Alligator mississippiensis: one gene and its partners. The protein of the gene in region 2 purifies or fractionates together with the protein of the main gene of each other region. This does not show direct contact. Links are inferred from orthologs where the notes say so. Each region holds a gene or a part of one and is shown on either strand. Other genes may lie near its edges.

Region 1 (8,086 bases), on a different chromosome or scaffold from region 2:
ATCTGGATAGGAAAGGCTTGGTGATCAACTTACCTCACCAGCCTTGGATGTCCTCAGAGGATAGATCACTGTTGTTGGGGGTTGGGCAGCAGGAGGAGGAGACCCAAGATCAGGCAGCCAGGTGCAGGTGCAGGGCAAGAGGCTTCCTTTCCACCATCTGTAAATCACTTCCTGATTTGTAGTTAATGAATAATTGAGGTGCATGGGGAGCAGGGGAAGAACAGGCTTAAACTGAGGGGGCAGGTGAAGAGGTGAGGAACTATCTGCTCTTCCTGCTTCCTCTCCACTAAGTACTTCCTTGACTATTTGTAACTGAAAGGCAGAGAAAACAAAAGTGAATAGCTCTGATCACCTGGGAACTTACCAGACTTCTGACTCTTTTCCCTTGCAGTCCTGGCCTCCACAAACACTGCTCTGCCTATGCCTCCAGTCCTGACCTGCAGCTACCCCTACTGAAAGCTGCTCACGTGCACATTTGAATTCCAGGGTTGAAAAGAGTCCAAAGACATTTGCTGTTTCCTCACTTTAAATGTTGGAAATTAACAACATCAGATGAAATGCAGCAAGGACAAGTGCAAAGTCCTGTGTCCAGGACTGAATCATGGGCAACTGGTGCCACCTTAGGGGCATCGGGGGTGGGGGGAGGAGTGGCCATGGCACTTCATCAAGTGCTCCCAGAAGTGGCTGTGGTGCTTGCAGGGGGGTACTGGCGCTCCCACCTGCCCCCCTGCCTGCCACCTAAGCAGGGAATGTGGCCTGTCAGGGGGTCCACCAGCACTCTCAGGGGGTGCATGTGCACCCCGTGTGCGCCACCACTGGACTGAATAATTGCACATACAGACTGGGGAATGACTGGCTAGACTGCAGTGCTGCTGAGAAGGGCCTGGGGGTTACAGTGGACTATAAACTAAACATGAGCCAACGATGTGCCCTTGTTGCAAAAAAGATCACAGCCTACTAGGTTGTATTAACAGGAGTGTTATTTGCAAATCAAGGGAAGTGATTCCTCTGTTCTGTTTGGTGCTGCTGAAGCCTTCTAGATCTGGGCCCAATGCTTCAAGAAAGATGTGAACAGTTTAGAAAGAGTCCAGCACAGCAGGGGTGATGCGTAGGGGGTGCACACAGATGCACATGCACCCCCTGAGCATGGTGGTGCACCCCCTACAAAAAGGTGCAGCTCTCCGTGATTCCCTCTGGCCGCCACCAACACTGCCAGCGGCGTCTGCGGGTGGTTGCCGACCCCTGGTCAGCACTCGCCACCTCCCCCGCCACCACTGCCGACAGCACCAGCAGCGTCTGCAGGAGCTCTCCCGCTAACCACTGCCATGCTCCTGCTGCTGCCACTGTGCCCCCCCGCGCCACGGGGAGCATGCATTGTTCATGCAGCACAGGATAAGAAAAATGAGCAAGGGCCTGAGAAACATGACTTAGGGTCTTGTTACACAGTAATTTGGGCAGCTCCTGGAGCTCTTAACCCCTGGGTTGTCCCCACATGTTAACATCTTAAAGCGGTTTTAAGCACGGTTTTGTGGCTCAAAGTTATGCCACTCCAGGGCAGGATTATTTCTGATCCACACTACCCAGCTCCTAGAATCACAGAATCATAGAAGGTGAAGGTTGAAAGGGACCTCAGAAGGTCACCTAGTCCAACTCCCTGCTCAAAGCAGGACCAGCCCCAACTAGATCATCCCAGCCAAGGCTTTGTCTAGCCGGGTTTTAAAACTCCCAAGGATGGAGCTTCCACCACCTCTCTGGGTAACCTGTTCCAGTGTTTTACTACCCTCCTAGTGAGAAAATTCTTCCTAATATCTAACCTAAACTTCCCTTGCTGTGATCATTGTTGTGACTTGAGACTGTTGCTCCTTGTTCTGTTATCTGCCACTGCTGAGAACAGCCTAGCTCTATCCTCTTTTGAACCTACTTCAGGGAGTTGAAGACTGCTATTAAGTCTCCTCTAAACTAAATAAGTCAAGTTCCCCCAGTCTTTCCTCATAAGTCATGTGCCCAGCCCCCTCACCATTTTTGTTTCTATCTGCTGCACTCTCTCCAATTTGTCCTTTCTGTAGTGGAGGGCCCAAAACTGGACACAGTACTCCAGCTGTAGCCTCACCAGTGCTGAATAGAGGGGAATAAACACTTCCCTTGACCTACTGGCAACACTCCTACCAATGCAGCCCAGTATGTCGTTAGCCTTCTTGGCAACAAGGGCACACTGCTGGCTCATATTCAACTTATTGTCCACTGTAACCCTCAGGTCCTTTTCTGCAGAGCTGCTGCCCAGCCAGTCAGCCCCCAGCCTGCGCTGGTAAATGGGATTGTTCTGTCCAAAGTGCAGGACTTTGCACTTGTCCTTGTTGAACCTCATGGGATTAATGTTCCATGAAGGTGTGGCCACTCTCCACAGATGTGCTGCCCAAACTGAAGTCCTCCAGTATCCCAGGATCTCTCATACCCCTACCCATACAGCAGAATTAAAATCCTACCCTGGCTCACAAGCCCTCTTGTGGCAGCTCACAGCTACAGCTCCTAGTCCTGCCCCTGCTCACCAGGCCTCTTGTCACAGCTCCAGGCTAGCACTAATGCTGATCAACCTTTGTGTAGCTCTCACCATAAGGTGTGGCAAGGCCCTTATAAGGGAAGGCTGAAAGAGTTAGGGTTATTTAGTCTGGAGAAGAGAAGACTGTGGGTCAAGGGTGAGGGGAGCGGTTGATAACATTCTTCAAATACCTGACAGGGGATCCTAACAAGGCTGGCAATGGACTTTTTTATGGCTGTAGGGGACAGAACTAGGAGCAAAGACCTCAAACTGCAGCAGAGGAAATTTAGGTTGAAGATGAGGAGGAACTTTCTGACTATGAGGGTAGTCAAGCATTGTAACAGGCTACCTAGAGAAACGGTGGAATCTTCATCCCTGGAAATTTTTAAGAGGTTAGATGGACACTTGGCTGGGATGTTTAGTCAAGGATGATCCTGCCTTGAGCAAGGGGCTGGATTAGATGACCTCATGAGATTCCCTTCCAGCCCTACTTTCTAATATGATTCTAATGTGCCAGCAATGCAGAAGAATAAGATTACTAGGTGTAAACGATTGCAACTCAAAGTACTTTTCTGTCCCTCATTTCAGGCTATTGCCACACATTAGCCATTACACCAGGGCGTGATCTACACATTAAGTATAGCAGCAGCTACAAAACAACAGGGTCCCCTAGTGTAGATACAGCTTTGCTTGCAGGAGTTTTTCTGGCCACCAGGACTAAGCGCCTCTGCACCCAGCCTTCTGTCTCTATGCCAGGGCTATGTCAGCAGGGTAACATTGGCTACAGCATAAGATCTTCTGCTACCCTGTAGGCATCAGTGCACTGCCAGTGGACCCCTGTAACATGGGCAAAGGTTACAAGAATAAATTGAGTTCAGGAAGCTTCTAACCAACACATTTGAACTAACATAGTTTTAGATCTTTTAACCTTTTAAAGAAACATAACAGCACAGAGCTGTCCAGTTGATGGCCCATGAGAGGTTAACATGCCTCCCACGCTGGTGGGACTCTCTGGGGCAGGGCAGCATGGCAAGGAGTATGCTGCCTGCTGGATTCTGGCAAGGGGGAATTCCCTGCTGTGGGGCAGAGGTTCTTGCCCATGTGGTGGCAGCAGCAGAGCAGCTGGCACAGCAGTAGCTGGAGACTTGCATTGCTCATGTGGCAGGGGTCCCAAGGTGCCCACATGGCCCCCAGGGCATGCTGCCTGTATGGTGTGCAGCCCAGGGCCTGCAAACTGTGTGGCATGCAGGCCCTGGCTGCTGTGTATCTGGCCAGCCCAAACTTGATTGGGCCCTGGTGTAATGGCTGTGTGGCAATAGCCTGAAATGAGGGTCAGAAAAGTACTTTGAGTTGCAGTCATTTACACCTAGTAATCTTATGCTTCTGCATTGCTGGCACATTAGAATCTTATTAGAAAGTAGGGCTGGAAGGGAATCTCATGAGGTCAAACCTGGGCGGACGAGAATCTGATGGTGTTCAACGCCGATAAATGCAAGGTTCTCCACCTTGGGAAGAAAAATCCGTAGCATCCTTATAGGCTCGGCAGTGCTATGTTAGCTAACACTATGCAAGAAAGAGACTTGGGGGTCATCATTGACCACAAGATGAACATGAGCCTGCAGTGCGATGCTGCAGCTAGTAAAGCGACCAAAACACTGGCTTGCATCCATAGATGCTTCTCAAGCAAATCCCAGGATGTCATTCTCCCCTTGTACTCGGCCTTAGTGAGACCACAGCTGGAGTACTGCGTCCAGTTTTGGGCTCCACAATTCAAAAAGGATGTGGAGAAGCTTGAGAGAGTCCAGAGAACAGCCACGCGCATGATCGGAGGTCAGGGAAGCAGACCCTACGATGACAGGCTGAGAGCCCTGGGGCTCTTTAGCCTGGAAAAGCGCAGGCTCAGAGGTGATCTGATGGCCACCTATAAGTTTATCAGGAGTGACCACCAGTATGTGGGGGAACGTTTGTTCACCAGAGCGCCCCAAGGGATGACGACTAGGTTGAACGGTCATAAACTACTACAAGACCGTTTCAGGCTGGACATAAGGAAGAATTTCTTTACTGTCCAAGCCCCCAAGGTCTGGAACAGCCTGCCACCGGAGGTGGTTCAAACGCCTACATTGAACACCTTCAAGAGCAAACTGGATGCTTATCTTGCTGGGATCCTATGACCCCAGCTGACTTCCTGCCCTTTGGGCAGGGGGCTGGACTCAATGATCTTCCGAGGTCCCTTCCAGCCCTAATGTCTATGAAATCTATGAAACTTAACACATTTAGAACCACATTCAACGCTTGCGTTCAGCAATAGTGTCACTTTACTGTGTTAAGTGCTGTCTGCACTAGCATGTTAAATAGCTAAGTGATTATTAATTTGCTTCTAACACAACCTAGCCTATACAGAGCTGCAGTGCCCACACCTTCCCTTTGACAGGCTGGGGTTAGGCGCGTAGCCCTGAACTTCTTGTTCCACCCCTGAATGGTTTCACTTGGCTCTACCCTCAGAACAAAAGCATTCCTTGTGCTGCAGCCATAGCACTCTATTTCAAAAGTCACCAGGTACCAAGTCTTTACTCCCAGGCAGAAGGGTTGTACCGTGGGGGGGAGCTGTCTCCTCTCCATTTCCTGGGACCAGGCTCAGGCAGAATGCCCTCACAGCAGAGCTACAGCAGGGCAGGACTGCTGAGGGAGGAGCAGGAAAGCAAACCTCCCTTCTGCCTCATCATCACCCATTGGAAACAGCTTAGGACACAGCCCTGGGACTCAATGGGACCACTCTTAAAACAACTTTTATTCACAAGCAGAAGCAGCACACTGTCTCATGCAGGCACGTAAAACACAACGCCGCAGACACACAAAGAAGCTTCTGAGCTTCCGAGGCACTGGGGGCTCCTGGGGCCCCACCTGCAGCTGGACAACCGCAGCCCGACCGGGATGCCAGGAGCCAGTGCCCTCATACTCAGCTGGAGCTGGACAGGGTCCCAGCTTCATGAGGCTGCCACCCCACCTGTCCCCGACCCATGCGGAGGCAGCGTCATGGGTGGCAGGAACATGGCTTTCAGCTTCCCAGACATGCTGGCGATCTCTGGGTCCTGAGATTCATAGGATTTTATCAGCCGGGCAAACTTCAGGACCCCTGAGAGACAGAGAGAGAAGGGGGTGGGGGGAGACAGAGCTGAGGGGCCAGCCCTCTGCCAGGCCGCCATTCACCAGGCCCAGCGGCAGCCGGGTGCCCCTGGTGACGCGGGATAGCGGGCAGGGGCTGACCCCACCTTCCCCGTCGCTGCTGAAGCCGTAGGCTTTGATGACGTCCTGCTGGATCTGCGTGGCCACGGGCAGCAGGAACTGCAGCATCTTGCCCATGTCGTTGCAGGCATTGTCCCGCGCCTCATCCAGGCGCTGCGCGTTCTCCGGGGCGCCGAACGCCTTGAGCACCTCGGCCAGCACCACTGCGGGCAGGGCACAGGCGTGGGGGGCGGCTCGGCACCCAGCAGCCCCGCCGCCACTGCCCGCCCCCGAGCGAGGGGACGGGAGATGCTCACCTTTGGCTTGCTCCGCGCTCAGCGGCGCCGCCGAGGCCGGGCCCGAGGCCGCCATGGGGCGCTGCAGGCTGGACATGCAGGCAGGGCGCGGGCTCCTCAGGCACCTACCGCCGCCTGCAGGGGCGGAGGAGCCACTGCCAGGTCGGAGCACAGCGCTCGGATCAATAAAGCCCCCGCGCCGTAACCCCTCCCAAAATCCACTACCTTTGTACGCGCTGGGGCCCCTCGCTACGCGAGGGACTGCTGGACAAATACTAAAAGAGCTGAAATCACTGCCCAGTGTGTACAACCCCCCGAACCCCCCACCCAGCCCGAGTATCGCCCAGGTTAGGGTGACTCCGGCTGTGAGTCGCAAACCCACTCCGCAGGTTCGCGGAAGGCTCCTGAAACGCAGCCGCCGCTCCCGGGAAATGTCCGCAGCGCCGCGGCGGCTCCCCGCGCCCCCCCGCCTCGCTGGCGCCGCGGCGCTCGGCTTCCAGCCCGCGCTCGGGCGAGTTCGCCGGCATGCAAATGAGCCGCCTTCCCATTGGAGCAGGGGCCCGAAGCTCCACCCCCGGCCTGTCCGCGCCCTGCAGGTTTCGGCAGCACTGGCTGGAGGCCCCGCCCCCTGCCCCTACCTCCCAGTCCAGGTGCGGCGGTGCACGCTCCTGGCCTCTCTGGCCTGGCCTTGCAGCTGGGGACTCACGCGCCCCCATCAATAGCACGGGCCTAGTGCTGGGGAGGGCGCCACAGGGGGCTCTGTGCCTCATCACCAGCTCACTCCACCTCCTGCCAGGCAGGGCAGAGGGGGCACTGCCCTTCATGCCTCTGCGTGCCTCGCTTGCTGCCAGGGCCCCCAGGCACTTAAATGAAAACCACAGAGTCCGTTTCTGGAAGGGTTTCATTTTGTTTGTAAGAGCTTCATATATATATTTTATATATAAATTATTAGAATGTGTGTTCGGGGTTCTGAGCGCATGGAGGACTTCATTGGGGTGTTTCCCCAGAGCTCTCTTTCTTGTTTTTCCTTTTCTCTTTTTAATGTTTTAAGTAAATATATATATATATATTTATATATATATATATATATGCATGTGTGTGTGCGGATATATATAATGTGTGGGTGTGTATGTGTGTACATATATATACACACACACGTACATATACACACACACACTCACACAGACAGAGATATACAACTGTGAGATCAGACACGCACGTGGGGACTGGGAAGTCACACATTGCTACGCAAAACTGCCACGTCTAATGGGATGTGCATGGATTAAAAGTACATCAACTGGAATAAGAGAGGGGAAAGAGGCAGCCACCATCTTGAACACAGTCCCATGGTGCTTTGCACCTGCTGGCCATACCTGTTCCCTTGAGGTGGGGGAAAACACAGCCACCATCTTGAAAACAGTCCCATGGTGCTTTGCACCTCATAGCCAGGCCAGTCCCTCAGGGGTTGGGTGGGAAAGTAGAAGTGGCCATTTGAAGAGTTCCAATAGTGCTTTGCGTCTCTTTGCCATGTTCATTCCCAAAGTGGGTTCGGAGAGTAGGAAGCCACATTGGCCAGTTTCCAAAAGTCCCATGATGCTTTGCATCTCTAGGCCATATCTCACATCCAAAATAGCAGGGTGGGAGGCATTTTGAAAAAAAGTTCACATCAGGTTCTGAGGGTCTGCCTCTTGGCCATATCTGCTCATGCAGGGAAGCAGAAAAGGCTACCACCACGTATAGAAAGGTCCCATCATACTTCATACTTTTGTTTTTTTTATTAGGTACAACCACTCTCTCAAAAGAGATTCTGGAACAGCAGCCATTTTGAATCCCCACAATTCCTTGTACTTCAAGCTCTCTGTCACATTAACTTTGTCTTTCTCAGTGCCCCTCTTGAAGTCATGCCATGGTTCCAAACATTTTTTAGGCATCTCACTCCCTCCCCACTTCTCTCCCCTCCTCTCTGCTCCCAGGATGGTCATCTTGTTCTTTCCATCCTTCCTTCTCTTTCACTGTGCTGAACAGGCCCAGG
Region 2 (7,220 bases):
ACCACTGACAATATCTGTATGTTAAGAAAATCCACAAACAAAATGAATGTATGATTTGTCCATTAAAAATGGATAGATATTTGTGTTTTTATTTTTCTTGAAACCTTAGAAGAAAGTGCAGAGACTCCTACTTTCTTTTAAAGCTGAAAGTCTTAACATGCTATTTTTTATGCATATCTGTCAAGTATGTTTCCTTACTGTGATCAAAGCAGTGAATATTAAATCAGAGCAAAGCTGCCTGAAAAGCTAGACACCTCTCTTCCATTTCTTTTTTATCTTACCAATAGGTAGAAATCTTTTAACCACTTACCTTGAACATAGACATAAATGCTGGTGCTTGCCTGGTTGTCTTTGTAAATGCACTTGTAGGCCCCAGTGTCATTACTTATTACTTTTGTCAGAGTGAGCATCTTACAATAGAGGCTGTCATCGCAGTTTGTCACCGTGACACGTTTCTCAGAACTGCTCTGATTGTTAGGCCAAAACCATTCCACAGTTCTTTGACCACTAGGAAAACAAATTACAGAGAAGTATTAGGACAAGACTGGCTATGGAGTTGCTCCATGTCAGTAAAATTCAGTCCCACAGTCTTTAAATAGCCCCTTTTAACACAATGAAAATCAGCTTACCTGCAAGTAATTTTTAATGTATCATTTGCAGTTACTGTAAGGATATCTTTTTGGATGCTAAGGGTTGGCTGATCCAGGCCTGCAGAAATATCAATAAACGAATGAGCCAAAAGCCAGTGAGACTCGATAAGAAAAAGCACAATATAAAAGTGTACATATAGGCTATTTTAAGTGAACACCTTTACATAATGTGTTAACCTGTGGCAGGCAAATAATCACTTTTCACATATCCCAGTAAGTTCAAGATCTGTCATAACAGGAAGAATAGGCAGATGGTCATGAGCTAGCAGAATAGCACTACAATTCATAAAGCTAGGGTGGAGTTCCTGTTTTCTTGCATTGCCAACTTCAAGGTCTAACAAGAGGATATGGGACATTGAAAAAAAGTGAACCTTCATCTGATGATCTCACTCCCTTGGGAAAAAGCCTACCAACTTTACTTGCAATAAACTGAACGTATACATTTGCCACGGCTGCTGATTAATAAATACTAACAGGAATCATTTTGTGCAATGATGATCCTTCTTTGAGCAGGGGGTTGGACTATATGACCATCTGAGGTCCCTTCCGGCCCTAATTTTCTATGATTCTATGGTTCTATGAATGCATCATATGCACAAGGTCATATGAGCTATTGTTGTTTTCCTTGCTCACTTTTTCCTTTGTCGTGGGAAAAATTATTCCTATTTTATTTGTGAGAGTGGTTCCATTGTGTCCATTGTGTTTAGTGGGAATCCTTGTGTCACAGGGGCTGCAAAATCAGTTCCACTTCAGTCTTAGATAACTGTTTGGTGAGGCAGTTTGCGCAACATTGTAAATAGCACAGAAAGAGACCTTTCTAGCACTGGTTCCGATACTCCCTCCTATTGGGAATTCTCTCTTGGTAAGGGCTGTCTAAAGAGAAAATAAGTCTAACAAGACACAGCTCAGATGAGTGGCAACTAGATTAGTATTAGTAACAATAAGGTAAGCCTATGTCTGTAATGTACAATATTTTCCCAGAATTTCTATTATAATCTGATCAAACCCTGCCTTCTCCATTGCCAGTTTCACATATTTTCACTTTCTTCTAGAAAACCATCACTACTAGAGATACAAGCTGGCTTGCTTTCTCTTGTAAAGTATCATGCAGTTATTTTTCCTCATCATAAGCATCAGCACTAATGTTACATCTATCCCATTTGCCAGGTAATCGCAAACAAACGAGCCCAGGCCAAACCCTGCCCTCAGATGCACATCTGCAGTCCCCAGTGGCTTCAAGGAGAGCTGTTATAGAAATAAATAGCAGAGCATCAAACCTCTGGAAGGGGTGGATTTGAGGGTGGGAGGGAAAGGGGTTACCGGGGGCTTCTTTTTCACCACAGAGAACATACAGCACCAGCAGACTCTTCCTATGCCTGAAGAAGGGTGTTGGAGCCTGAAAGCTTGCAAAGAACAATTTTTCCAAATATTTAGTTGGTCTAATAAAAGATACCACATTTACACAAAGAACCTACTCTGCCAAGACACTAAGACACTTCTCCATCAGTATTTACTAGCTGAATTGAGCTAGTGATGCTGATCTATAGCCAAACTACAACCAACCACTACCTAGATGATCATTGGTGTTAAGCTACTGAATGCAGCATTTGCACCTCAAGGGAGAAGAGACAGTTGAAACGGGCGTGATCACATACGTAGCCATTAAGAAACCCCACGGTGGTGGTAAAGCTTGAAGAACAACTCAAAGGCATGACTTCTCAAGTAATCGTGCAAGTACTGGCCTTAGACTAATGTGTGCACCCTTTGCAATGTCTGTCTGCTCAAAACGTTTATCTTTGAGCCAAACAGGTGCGGTGCATTTGTCCCATCCACACACAGCCGGCCACCCCGGTGTGGAGCTCCTTGCCACCAGGCGTGGGGGACGCTGACAGGTCAGCCAGATCCGCAAAGGGATCGGACACGTTCTGGGAGGAACGGAGCATCGGGCGACTGAGCGTGGGGTGCGGGCACAGCCCCGCAGCCAGAACTCCGAGAGGTGCCGGAGGCTGCAAGTGAGAAAGGACCGGGGGGAAGCCCTGCTGCCCCGCTCTGTGGCACAGGGTCTGACCGAGCCCTTCGGAAACTTTTCTCCAGCCGGGGACCCACCTTACTGCTCTGGGGCTGCGGGGGCTGCTCTCGGCACTGAGGGGCTGCGCTCGCTCTGCCCTGCCCCATGCCATCACCCTTCCCCACCCACGCCTCGGGGCAGGGCCGATCGCTGCCGCTCGTCTCCTGCCCTTGCCCCTGCCCCTGCCCCTGCCCCTGCCCCTGCCCCTGCCCCTACCTGGAGCCAGGCGGGAGCCCATGCCGAGCCACAGCACCAGCGCCAACGCCAGCCTGGGCTCCATCGTCTGCCGCTGCTGCCGCCGCTGCAATTCGGGGCCGACGCGCACCACCCGCCTTGCGCACCTGCGAGGCCGCCACTGCCCGCGCGCCGCCCGCAGCGCCGCTATTTTATATACGGGGCGGGGCCTAGCCCGCCGAGGCCCCGCCCTCCCGCTGGGCGCCAGGGGGTGCTGAGCCCTGCAGCCCTTCCTCTGGCCGGAGATCTGCCTCAGCCTCTGGCCGCAGCGGAGAAGAGGGGGTTATTGGTGATTTGGCCGGATCAGGCTGGGGCAGGGCAGGGTGTAGGGCAGTGATTCTCAACCAGGGGTGACCTGAGCTCCTTGCAGGGGTGCCACGCAGCGTTGGGTGTGCAAGCAGGATTGACGTGAAAATTGTAAACAGTGTTAACGCCATTCTGGCCCGTAGGTGTCTTCCGGGGGTCTTGGCAGCAGAATTGCTCCCTTTTTTTTCCGTAGTCCAAAAAAAAAAAAGAGTGAAGGCTGGGAGCTGGCACGGTCCCAGGGCTGCCTTCATTCAAATGAGGGCTGCCTTGCTCCCAAATGGGCGGGAAGCACTTGTATCGGTAAACAAACGCAAAGGGCAATGATGCTCGTTGGTGAAGGCTGCTGAGCCTCCCTATGAGAAGAAGGTCTCTGATGATCCCACGAGCCCAGGACAGGAGCAATCGGAAACAGAACATATCCTTTGTACCACAGTTTCTCGGCAAAATCCAAGAATACACTACATTTTCTTCACAGATTCTTCTGGGGAAATTCACTCGCTGGTTAGATGTGGCTGTCAACTGGAAAACAGCAAGTCGTAGAAATTGCTTCTCAAGACCGATATAATTTCATATTAAAGAAAGTGCATGGAATCTGCCAAAACTTTGGGAAATCCCCAAGGAAGAGGGCAGTATTTTGTGATAAGAAACTTCCTAGTTTAATCTGTGTAAGCTTGAGGCACCTTAGGAGTCTTGATCCTCAGAGGATGAATGCACATGATTTTCTGAAAATCATTGCCACCTAAAAGAGCATTTCTGATTGGCTCCACAAAAATGGAGGTGCTTAAAATCTCTAGTCATGTTTTGGTAAAATCTTGTACCTAATCCTCAACAAAAATTCCCCAAAGAGCTCTGACGCATTCACATGGTGGCCTTGTTCATATACAGTAAGCTGGATGTAGCTTATCTCAAGCTGGTCCAGGTGCCCAGATACTAGATCACTGACTGTATATGGCAACATCTATATCCTTAGATCTGATATAATTCATATATTACCCCTATGTGCCTAGTACAGCCCTTATGATTCAGTTACCTGAATCCTGGTCCCCCATGATAAAGTCATTTCCTGTAAGATTGAACATTTTACCCTCTTCTTACTAATGGCTAGATCCAGGTCTATTTATTCAGGCAACAATGCTATTGATATGATCAGAGTAACACCTGCAGGATTTGGTTGTAATTACTGATCTAATAAGACCAGGGTGATGTAAACAGGCTCCAGACAGTAGGTTCCTCTCCAGAAATAAAGTATAAGAATAGAATGTTACTTTCTTAATTAAAAGGGTTTTTTTTAAGATTACTGTAGTTGATACATAAGTGTTGGCAGAAGTTTTATGAAATATCCTCCTTTAGAGAAATAGAAGCATTCATACAAATAAATTTTAGTTGTGCATAATTTGCTCTGGTTGATATACTAATGAATCTGCATAAGATTCTATCCACAAATGAATTAGTCAATGAGTCTGTAATTTTACTTTGAGTGCTGTGCAATTTCAGCTCTTCCACTGTACTGGGGGACTGATACAATTTCCACTGAAATTGCATCCCTCCTGCTGACAGAATTCTAGCGAGAGTGAGAAAAGCTAAGTTTCTAATTTGATTTTTTCCCAAAGTTCCAATAAACTGTATTACACCTAAAAGAATCTCTTGCATCAAAAAGAGTGCAGTGAGCCACACTCAGACAAGAGTGCACTGTTGCCCTACCCCTGACAACATTTTATTATTTAAGGCCAAAAAATGTTCAGGCCTCATTAAAACATTTCCAGTATTACATGTGTGGAATCAATAGCAATGCTGAGTGATTCTTAGAACTCTGGGTTCAACTGCAAAATAATTGTCCATTGCTGAAATTGGTTAGCAAACAAGTTTATATTCACAAACTAGTAATCAAAACCTAGCAGGAACCATTGATCCTATGGATAGCTAAAGAATCTCCTTTGCTAACTTTGGTCTAGATCAGTGATGCTCAGAGTGCTGGGGTACCCTGGGGTGCCACCAAATCCTTTGAAGGGTGCCCTGAGGAGTGAGGAGATAAGCGGATAAGTGCAGGCTCAAGCTTGTTCTTGCCTGGCGGATCCCCCACCCCTACTGTCTGGCCACTCTGCAAAGAAGTAAGGACTGTAATATACAAATTAGTTTTTGAAATTGGCTGCCACACAATTCACACAAGTTATGGAGGGGTTCCCCAAGTCCAATGAGGGATGACTTAAGCCCAGTGAGGGGAGCATCCACTCCAAAAAGGTTGAGAACCTCTGGGCTAGATTGTGATTTATAGTGTGCAGTTACACGGAAGAGTAAGGGCAATTTTAAAAAAATGCCCTTAATTCATGCATAGGCTGGAAGGATCTGGGAGGTTCAGGCATTTGGGGGTAACAAGACATATCACCAGAGAAGATAGGTGGGAATGGAAGAGCCATGACTGAACTTCTGTTGGGCATGAGGGCATAAATTCCTGATGGTTAAAGTGAGTGACAGCTACTAATTTCTCTCTAGAACAACTTGGAGTCACAAAGAATATTGGGTCTGATAGTTTGTCTCTAGAACACAATAACTTTCAGGCTTACTTCTTAGATGCTGCAATGTAGGAAGCACACCTGTTTAGGTGTTTCTTGCCTTTAATGATGGTCACATGCATAAGCATGTGTTTTTCATATTTATTTCTTCATAAACAGTAAAGCAAAGATAGAGGGTGAGATTTTCATAAGCATATAGTTGACTTAAGAGCACAACTCCCGCTCAATTCAATTCATTCAAGCTCACAAGGAAAATGGAAGTCAATCAGTGGTGCTAATTGAACTTTCATCCAAATGACCATTCAAATTAAAATGTAGTTTGATCATAACCAGAGACTGCTGTAAATAAGCATTGGCGAAGCGTAGGGTGTATAAGCAGGTGCACATGCACCCTCCCCCCCCCCCCCAGTATCACAGTGCACCCCCTGCAAAAAGGCACGGCAGTCACTGCTGGCAGCACCTGTAGGGGGTCACCACTCGCCACCCTGCCCCCCCTTACCACCGACACCGCCGGCAGTGTCTGCAGGTGGTCCATGATCACCGCTGGCTGCCACCACCACCAGCAGCAGCATCTGAGGGTGGTCGCCAACTGCTGGTCGGTGCTTGCCACCCTCACCTGCCACCGACAGTGCTGCGACTGCCTGTGGGAGCTCCCCACTTGCCACCACCATGCTCCTGCTGCTGACAGTGCCACTGTAGCCTGCTCCGGGGGCACACAGCATTCGCGTAAATAAGCATTGCTTTTTCTTTCTGTATCAGTATCTTAATGAATCTTACTTGGGTGGATTGATTTAAAGAAATAGACACAAGAAACAAAAGAGAGGTAGTTACTAGTGTTTGTCTGAAGTCAGGCAGTGGGCAGGGCAGGGTTGCACTTAGCACCAGTTTTCCTTCTTTAACACTCCCACACTCACATTTTAAGTGCCTTTAGTACATTGTAAGGGTAACATGTAACTAAGCCCTTAGAAACTAACACATTCCAAAATGCATAAGCTTTTCTGTTGGCCTACAGAAGCTTATGCATTTCTAAACAAGTTAATCTCTAACGGCACCTTTACATGTGCTCCAGGGTGGGAGTGGGGGGTGCTTTAATTAGAGCGGCTCTCAGGAGCCACTCTAATTAAAGCACCCACCGCGTCTCGTGTAGTCAGCATCCTGCACTTCAAAATAGTGCATTTAACGAGCTTTAGTTAAAGTGTTCCCACCACCATTTTGAAGTGCAGGGACACAGAATACGTGGGATGCCAAGGTTGCTGGAATGTGCTAATTAGCACGCGTTGGAGCAGGCATCGGGCATATGCATAGGTGCTCTAAGGTGCCACCCTGCCCTGCGTGCTGCCTGACTTCAGACTAACACTGCTCACTCTCTCTCTTATTTCCTTGTGTGTTTCTTTCAATCAATCTCCCAAATAGGACTCATTAAGATAATGATTACAAGTTATAGCTTCCAAG
Region 3 (6,986 bases), on a different chromosome or scaffold from region 2:
TTCTATGGCCAGGTTGTCGGCGACTAAACTGGCACCCCAACCTGGGCTAGTCTGGGTGAGGAGGGATGTGGACACCCAGCGAACTAAAAACAAGGCCTGTCAAAGGGCATGAGATCCCTGTGAGCCAAATGTCATCCATGCCTGGAGAGGAGATGAGCACCACCAGATCACTTTGCCCAAAGAATCACCGATGATGCAGAGCAACTCAACTAACCTCAGAGTGGAGGATGAGAGGAGACTCAGGCTGCGGCAGCAGCAATTTTATCCAGTGCTGGATGCAGCCTGTGCCCAGTGCCAGTCCCTGATGGGATAGGCAGCCTGAGCCTCCTTTCATCCGGCATGCAGATCCAAGGGCTCGGACCTCCGGGAGGAGGCTGGCACAGCCCAGCAGCCCTCCCAGGGGTGCAAGCCCCCGGATCTGCACCCCAGATGAAAGGAGGCTCAGGCTGCCTATCCCATCAGGGACTGGCACTGGGCACAGGCTGCATCCAGCACTGGATAAAATTGCTGCTGCCGCAGCCTTAGTCTCCTCTCATCCAGCACAGATCTGGGGGCTCGCACACCTGGAGTCCAGCACAGCCCTGTAGCCCTCCCAGGGCTGTGAGCCCCTGGATCTGCACCCCAGATGAGAGGAGGCTTCCCCTTCCACCTGGGACCGGTGCTGGGCAGCCTGAGTCTCTCCTCATTCAGCGTGAAGATCCGGGGGCTCGTACCCATGGGAAGAGTCTGGCACAGCCTGGCAGCCCTCCCGGGGGTGGAAGCCTCCAGATCTGCACCCCAGATGAGAGGAGGCTGCCCTGTCACCTGGGACCAGCGCTGGGTGCAGGCTGCACCCACCACCAGAGAAAATTGCTTCTGTCACTTGTCTGAGGAGGAAGGCAAACAAAGCCAGTGCTGTGCTCCATGGGGCTGGCAGAACAGATCAGAGCCCAGCAGCAGGAGGCAGGCAGAGTGGGGCTGGGCCCCGTGGGGCTGGCGGAGCCGACTGGTGCACAGCCTGGCAGTGGGAGGCGGGGAGAGCCGGCACTGCACTCTGATCAGGTCCGCCAGTTCCATGGAGCGCAGCCCAGTAGCAGGAGGTGGACAGAGCCAGTGCTGTGCTCCACCTCCCACTGCCAGGCTGAGCTCCATGGGGCTGGCAGAGCTGATCGGAGCATAGCCCAGCAGCGGGAGGTGGGCAGAGCCGGCGCTGCACTCCATTCAGCTCCGCAGCCCCACGGAACACAGTCCAGTGGTGGGAGGCGGGCAGAGCTGGGGCTGTGCTCTGTGGGGCTGGTGGAGCCAGCTGGTTCTGCCCACCTACCAGCGCCGAGCTGTACTCAATGGGGCTGGCTGAGCCGAGCAGAGCGCAACCCAGAGGTGGGAGGTGGGTAGAGCTGGCGCTGCCCTCTGGTCAGCTCCACCAGCCCCACGGAGCACAGCCCAGTGGTGGGAGGCAGAGAGAGCCAGGGCTGCGCTCCCCGCTGGGCTGAGCTACATGGGGTTGCGGAGCCGCTCGGAGCACAGCCCTGGCTCTCCCCTGCCTCCCACCACTGGGCTGCTTCGAAACTCGAAACATTTTGAAACTTGCAAAAGATTTTGAGTGCCTTCGTTTCATTTCAAAACTGTTTTGATGCTTTTTGTTTCATTTCAATTTCACTGTTTCAAGCTCAAAATGTGTCAAAACAGCTTCGAAACAAAACACTTGGCGAAATTTTGCACAGCCCTAGTTGTTACAGCATCTAAAGTGCCCCAATGATCCCAGTGGCCTCAAGACTGACTTGACAAAAAATTGGCTGATCCAAATCATGGATCTCAATGCTGCCTTTCAGACCTATTGTTCTAGTACATGCATGGGAAGAAAGACCTGGATGATCAAATCTAACTAACAACCAGGTTGTTACAATGGGACTCATTCATAGCCCATAAAGGCAAAGAAAAATCATTACACGCTTTATATCAGGCTCTAAGGTCCTTAAGTTGATAGAACAGCAATCCAACTGTATGCACTTGCAGAACTAAAGAGCACCATTGTAGAAGATGCATATATTTTTTAAATCAAGGAACATGAGCTCTCTTTTCTTTTCCCCATTCTTGGTTTAGGCTAGCTAACAAGCATGTTTTCTCCACAGATACCAAGATCAAAGGACGTCAGTAGTCAAACACACTTGAAATCATTTGCAAAAGTAAATGATATCTAGGATTGTTGTCTGCCCTGGGTACCAGCCTATCCTCCACAGATAACTACAGTTCACTGGGAACCTCCCAGCAATATCCTTTCCATTTCTCCCTCTTCTTTTTCCTCAGCAATGAAATAGGAGCGGCTTATTTTATTGCAAGGAAACTTAATTGTAATCAGTCTCCTTAAAAAAAGGTTTTGAAAAATGTCCCCTCATTAGTTGCTTAACCTTCCTGAATAATTAATGTATCAAAATTTTAAAACAGTCATTTGTCTTTGCTGCTGCATGTCATAAAAATGTGCAGTAATGTAACCAAAGCTCAGTCTTCTGGAAAGCTAGGAAATCAATCCCATTACCTGTGCTAAGTCATGATGAAGAATAGGGGTGAGAGTACTTAACTCTGGATCATTATTATTTAAAGCCTTCCGTAAGAAATGTCACCAAATGTGCAACATACATCACAATGTGGTGACAACACCTCAAAATTAGTTGGGTTTTGTTTTTTGGTTGTTTGGGGTTGTTGGGGTTTTTTTGTTTTTTGTTTTTTTGTTTGTTTGTTTGGGGGGGGGGGGGTTGACTCGTGTTTCTTAGACTTTCTCCTGAATTAGTCAATTTAAAATTTCCTCCTCCTTTAAACATACAAAATAGTGTATAGACATTCTTTGTTTTTAAGCTGCAGCAAAAGTAAAGCATGTTCTGCTGTTCAAAAGCAGGATCACAGCATTCTGCCTGAGCTGTAGGAAGGCCCATCTGCTTATCATGCTGAGCTCACTGGTCTATATCCTACCTTAAATTTCAAGAATTTCAACACTCATTGCAGTCACTGAGGCCAAAATTAAACCCTCATTGGTCTGCAATTAAACAGCAAATCAAGCTGGCTAGCATAACACAAGCTCTCCTCTTGGAACATTGATCTTTTCCCCTTTCCTCTCTCCCAAAAATTCCTCCACTTGAAAATTTCTAATACAATGAAGGCAATACATGTTATTCAGTGATTCTTCTCCTAAGATTTTTTGTTTGTGAATCTTGGGGCCCAACTCTCTACTGCCTTACATCTTGGGTCATCACTTCCACTTCTGGAATAGTCCATAAAATCTAAACAGTGTTTTGTCTACCATGCACAGGTTGGGATCATTACATAAAGTGCAAGGCAAAGAAGTTGGCACTGGGCTGGAGACTTGCAACCAATTTCTGTTCTCTGATTTGCTGAAGCCAGATCTATCAAATCTGTACAGCTGTTACCAAGACCAGCATGCGGCTCATCCCAGAATTTCAATATATCCCAGTCCTCTCACACTAGCAAAGATTGGCTCTTAAACTTTTTATAAGAACTCCTGTTTGATGGACTTTCAGCCTTTGTGGGTGGTGGAATAATCCTGGTGGAGAGACGAAAACACTCCCATCTGCCTGATGGGAAAACAAATCTGAAAATAAGCCGGAGACCATACTCTTCAAATAGTGAGAATAAAAATAAAAACAAGTGCTAAGTTAGGATTTTTAATAACCCCTAAAATGAAAATGATCAGTAAGAAAGATACTAAATAACAGCACTGGCTTTATATTACTCTTACAGGCCATTTCCTTTTATTCAGATATGTATTTGTTACACCCTCTGAAAGGCAAGTCTAGCAAAATGACTCTAAGTTTATCTTGTTTCCTCCACTCCCTTTTCTCACTGGCATTACTAAGGTTTGTAACAATAACAGGATGCAGGGATGCAGGATGGGAAAAGCTGACCCCCAGCTGGGAAACCTTGGAGACTGGAAAGCTGAACACTCCCAGTATTACCTAGTGAAATTAAATCCTGATTTTATATCTGTTCCTCACTCTCCGAGTGGTGCTCATGATTTCTGGATATTGTTCATTTCATGTTCTTAATTTGGGATAAAACTGAAGCTTCACCAACTCCTGGGGATCAGGTAAGGGACAGAGGATATTATTACTTTTAATTTCAAGAATTTTTCCTCCCAGATAGCTGACACTTTGGAACTGGCTTGAAGTTATTTGATGATTCTGAAGTTCATGTTCTGCATGTTAGATGTATTTAGAGCACCCTTGGGGCCCAGTATCGCTGGCAGAATAACTATTGACACCAATGGAGTTACTGCCAATTAACACTGAAGTGAGAGGAGAATCGGTTTCTCTACATCTGCATCTAATGGTCCCAGACTGTGAAGAATATTTAGACTCAAAGAAGTGATTCTTTTGGTTCAAAATGATCAAATTATGCTGCCAGTAGATGTTTTCAATAAAACAGAAAAACAGAAATCAATGCAACAAATTGCACTTGGGGACCCTTTAAGAAGGGATTCCAGTTGCATTACAGACAGCAATAGGCTTGATATTTTGTCATTGAACTAGAATACACGATGTTATATCTTGCTTTTTTTAGACATAAACATATTGGATGAAGGTTGCATAGGTCCTTGGCATTCTTTTTCTGTTCAAAATGAAATAGTGGAATTGTAGTACGGTTGGAGCTAAGAACCAAAGGATAGCACCTCTTATGTTCATTGGCTGCCACTAGGCAGATCTGTATGACAGGAGGTTCACTTTTAAAGACTTAGTGACATTTTCAAAAGCAGCTAAGTGACTTATGCTCCTAAGTCTTATTTTCAAAGTGAATCATGCATTTTAGGAGCCTGATCTCCACTAACTTTCAATGAAACTAAGGCACCTAATTGGTTTAGGCACTTTTGAAAATGTTACCTTGGATCATTCAAGTTGTATGACACTCATTTAACAACTAGGGGAAAAACCTCATAGATTTCTCTAGGAAACCTCTGGCTTTCAGCTGTCCAAATTTACCATGTTTTCTGGTAAGTTATTTCATGAAGAAAGCCGTGACACAAGACATCAGTTGAAAGGGTTTTTATGCTGCCATAAGCATATAATGTTTTACACAGGAGATCCCTTGACTAACAAGTTTGCAAAGACAAATGTTTATGAATAAGAGATGAATAAATGCATCTTTTTGGGTTGAAATTATAGTCCATGCGTCAGGAGATATAGTGCCTTACTGTGCTGTGTTTAATGCTGTATAAAGAAAAGGAAAAAATGAAGGCTTCAGGAAAAAGACAGAATAGGTTGAACTTTTGTGAGAAAACCTGAAGAAGTCTCAGCTATTCAAAGCATTGAAGTTGGCTGCTACTGAAGTTAACTTAAGTAGGATTATTTGATTCATTTCTGCCTCTTCTGATTATAACTGCTGATATTATAGTAGTTGTTATTTACATTTATAAAAGCACCTACCCTGTGATTCCTTGTGGGGAAAATTTAGGAAAATCTATTAACAGAAGCAACTCAAGATATATACAAAATCTTAACATGTTAATTAATACTATGAATCAAAACAACTAATACGGCAATACAAATGCTTGCTTTAAAAAGGTTTGGTATCTTTAAGGGTGGCTTTGAATCCTGAAACAAGGGGCAAACTAAAGAAGAAAAGGACATAAGGCTAGGTTTCTTCTGTTTCCGTTCCCCACAACCTACTGAGAACAGTCAAAGAGGTTGCATGCAATAAAACAAATGAACTGGAATACAAAAAATAAACTCTCAGTACTCTGATGCTAATCTGAGCTCTGTATGGAGTGCTCAGATTTATTTGGCTTTGGAAATGTAACTGCACTGCAAACTGAAATATTTTTCAGCTGATGCTTTCCATTTTATAACAATAGTACTTCAACATTATGTTAAAACCTTCATTTCAATATTTAAAATGCAAATTGAGTCACAACAGATCTATTTCATTGAATAATCTGGATATTTTGTATAGGAACAAAAGCTAGGTTCAATACCCAAGGAGAAGTAGATGCAGAGAAATTTTCATTTAAATAGTTAATAGCTTTGAAAAATATTTGCCAAAAGAACATGCCTGTCTCATATCCTGCTTTTGTTGAGAGGAATAGAGCAGCTCAAAACAGGATATAAGTACATGGATTTGTATACTTTCTATCTCAGAAGCTCATCTGGTTTATAGCCCTTACCAAGATAGACTATAAGAATATAAATTAATATTCAAAAGAGAATACTTTCCCTTTTCAAAAGAAAAAGAGAGAAAAAAATCATAGAAATACCTTTTGTTGTCAGGTTACTTATCTAAAACACTTAAAGCAAGCAGATAGTGCATTATTTTTGTGGAAGGGAAAGCCTATTAATGTTTAGTTATGACATATTTTAAAAGTGATTAATCAATATGATTACTGTAGCCATCTTTTCATCATTTTGGTTTCTAGAAATTTATTTCAGAAAGGTCCAAATTGTAATGGCAAGCAGGAAAAGAAAAAAAATCTCTCCTGCTAACTTCATGAGATATCTGTGTTAAGTGGGAATATTTCAAGCTGGGTAAAAAACATAAGATTGACAGGGTACTTTCCATTCTTCTTTCCTGGATGTTTAAAATGAGATGAGCCCTAATAGTTTATCACACAACGCATGCTGGGATGATTAGTTTTCTTCCTGCACTATTATGTGTCAGAAACTGGTTATTTGTACAAATTGGAGATTTGCCAAGCTACAGAGGGGGAAGATTTGTAAAGGCACAAAAAGACACTCAGAAACCCAATTCACATCAACTCAAAGTGGCAGTTGGGCTCTTACCTCCCACTGATGCCTTTGAAAAAGTCCCTCCAGAATCAGACTTGTATGTGAATATCAAAAACACCCTGCTTAGGTCTAGACCCCAAATTTAGTTTGGCTCACTACTAAGAGAAGAGGGTGTTTGCTCAGCGCTGCTGTACAATCAGGTTAATAACTTCTAGTGGTGTTGTGGAGTCAACAAGCCTGGTGGACCTGCCCTAGGACCCTTTCGGCTGCAAACAGAAA

Evidence for each region.
Region 1: the proteins of KDR (region 2) and PTPN6 purify together in Homo sapiens (affinity purification with western blotting; 3 studies listed by BioGRID and IntAct, with this or other methods). This does not show direct contact. The link is inferred for Alligator mississippiensis from reciprocal best matches to the Homo sapiens genes KDR and PTPN6.
Region 3: the proteins of KDR (region 2) and CDH5 purify together in Homo sapiens (affinity purification with western blotting; 3 studies listed by BioGRID and IntAct, with this or other methods). This does not show direct contact. The link is inferred for Alligator mississippiensis from reciprocal best matches to the Homo sapiens genes KDR and CDH5.

What each region holds. Positions count from the first base shown.
Region 1 is NC_081824.1:244,116,614-244,124,699, reverse strand, and holds the start of PTPN6 (tyrosine-protein phosphatase non-receptor type 6), read right to left. Parts: upstream 3,020-8,086; 5' UTR 34-3,019; intron 1-33. Other genes in the region: C1H12orf57 (protein C10), read right to left, coding at 5,521-5,669, 5,806-5,982, 6,076-6,189, 6,437-6,581; ATN1 (atrophin-1), read right to left, coding at 8,064-8,086. UniProt on the Homo sapiens protein: Tyrosine phosphatase enzyme that plays important roles in controlling immune signaling pathways and fundamental physiological processes such as hematopoiesis.
Region 2 is NC_081825.1:60,199,082-60,206,301, forward strand, and holds the start of KDR (vascular endothelial growth factor receptor 2), read right to left. Parts: upstream 3,066-7,220; 5' UTR 2,999-3,065; coding exon 2,935-2,998; intron 709-2,934; coding exon 630-708; intron 508-629; coding exon 311-507; intron 1-310. UniProt on the Homo sapiens protein: Tyrosine-protein kinase that acts as a cell-surface receptor for VEGFA, VEGFC and VEGFD. Plays an essential role in the regulation of angiogenesis, vascular development, vascular permeability, and embryonic hematopoiesis.
Region 3 is NC_081833.1:63,086,113-63,093,098, reverse strand, and holds the start of CDH5 (cadherin-5), read left to right. Parts: upstream 1-3,895; 5' UTR 3,896-4,078; intron 4,079-6,986. UniProt on the Homo sapiens protein: Cadherins are calcium-dependent cell adhesion proteins. They preferentially interact with themselves in a homophilic manner in connecting cells; cadherins may thus contribute to the sorting of heterogeneous cell types.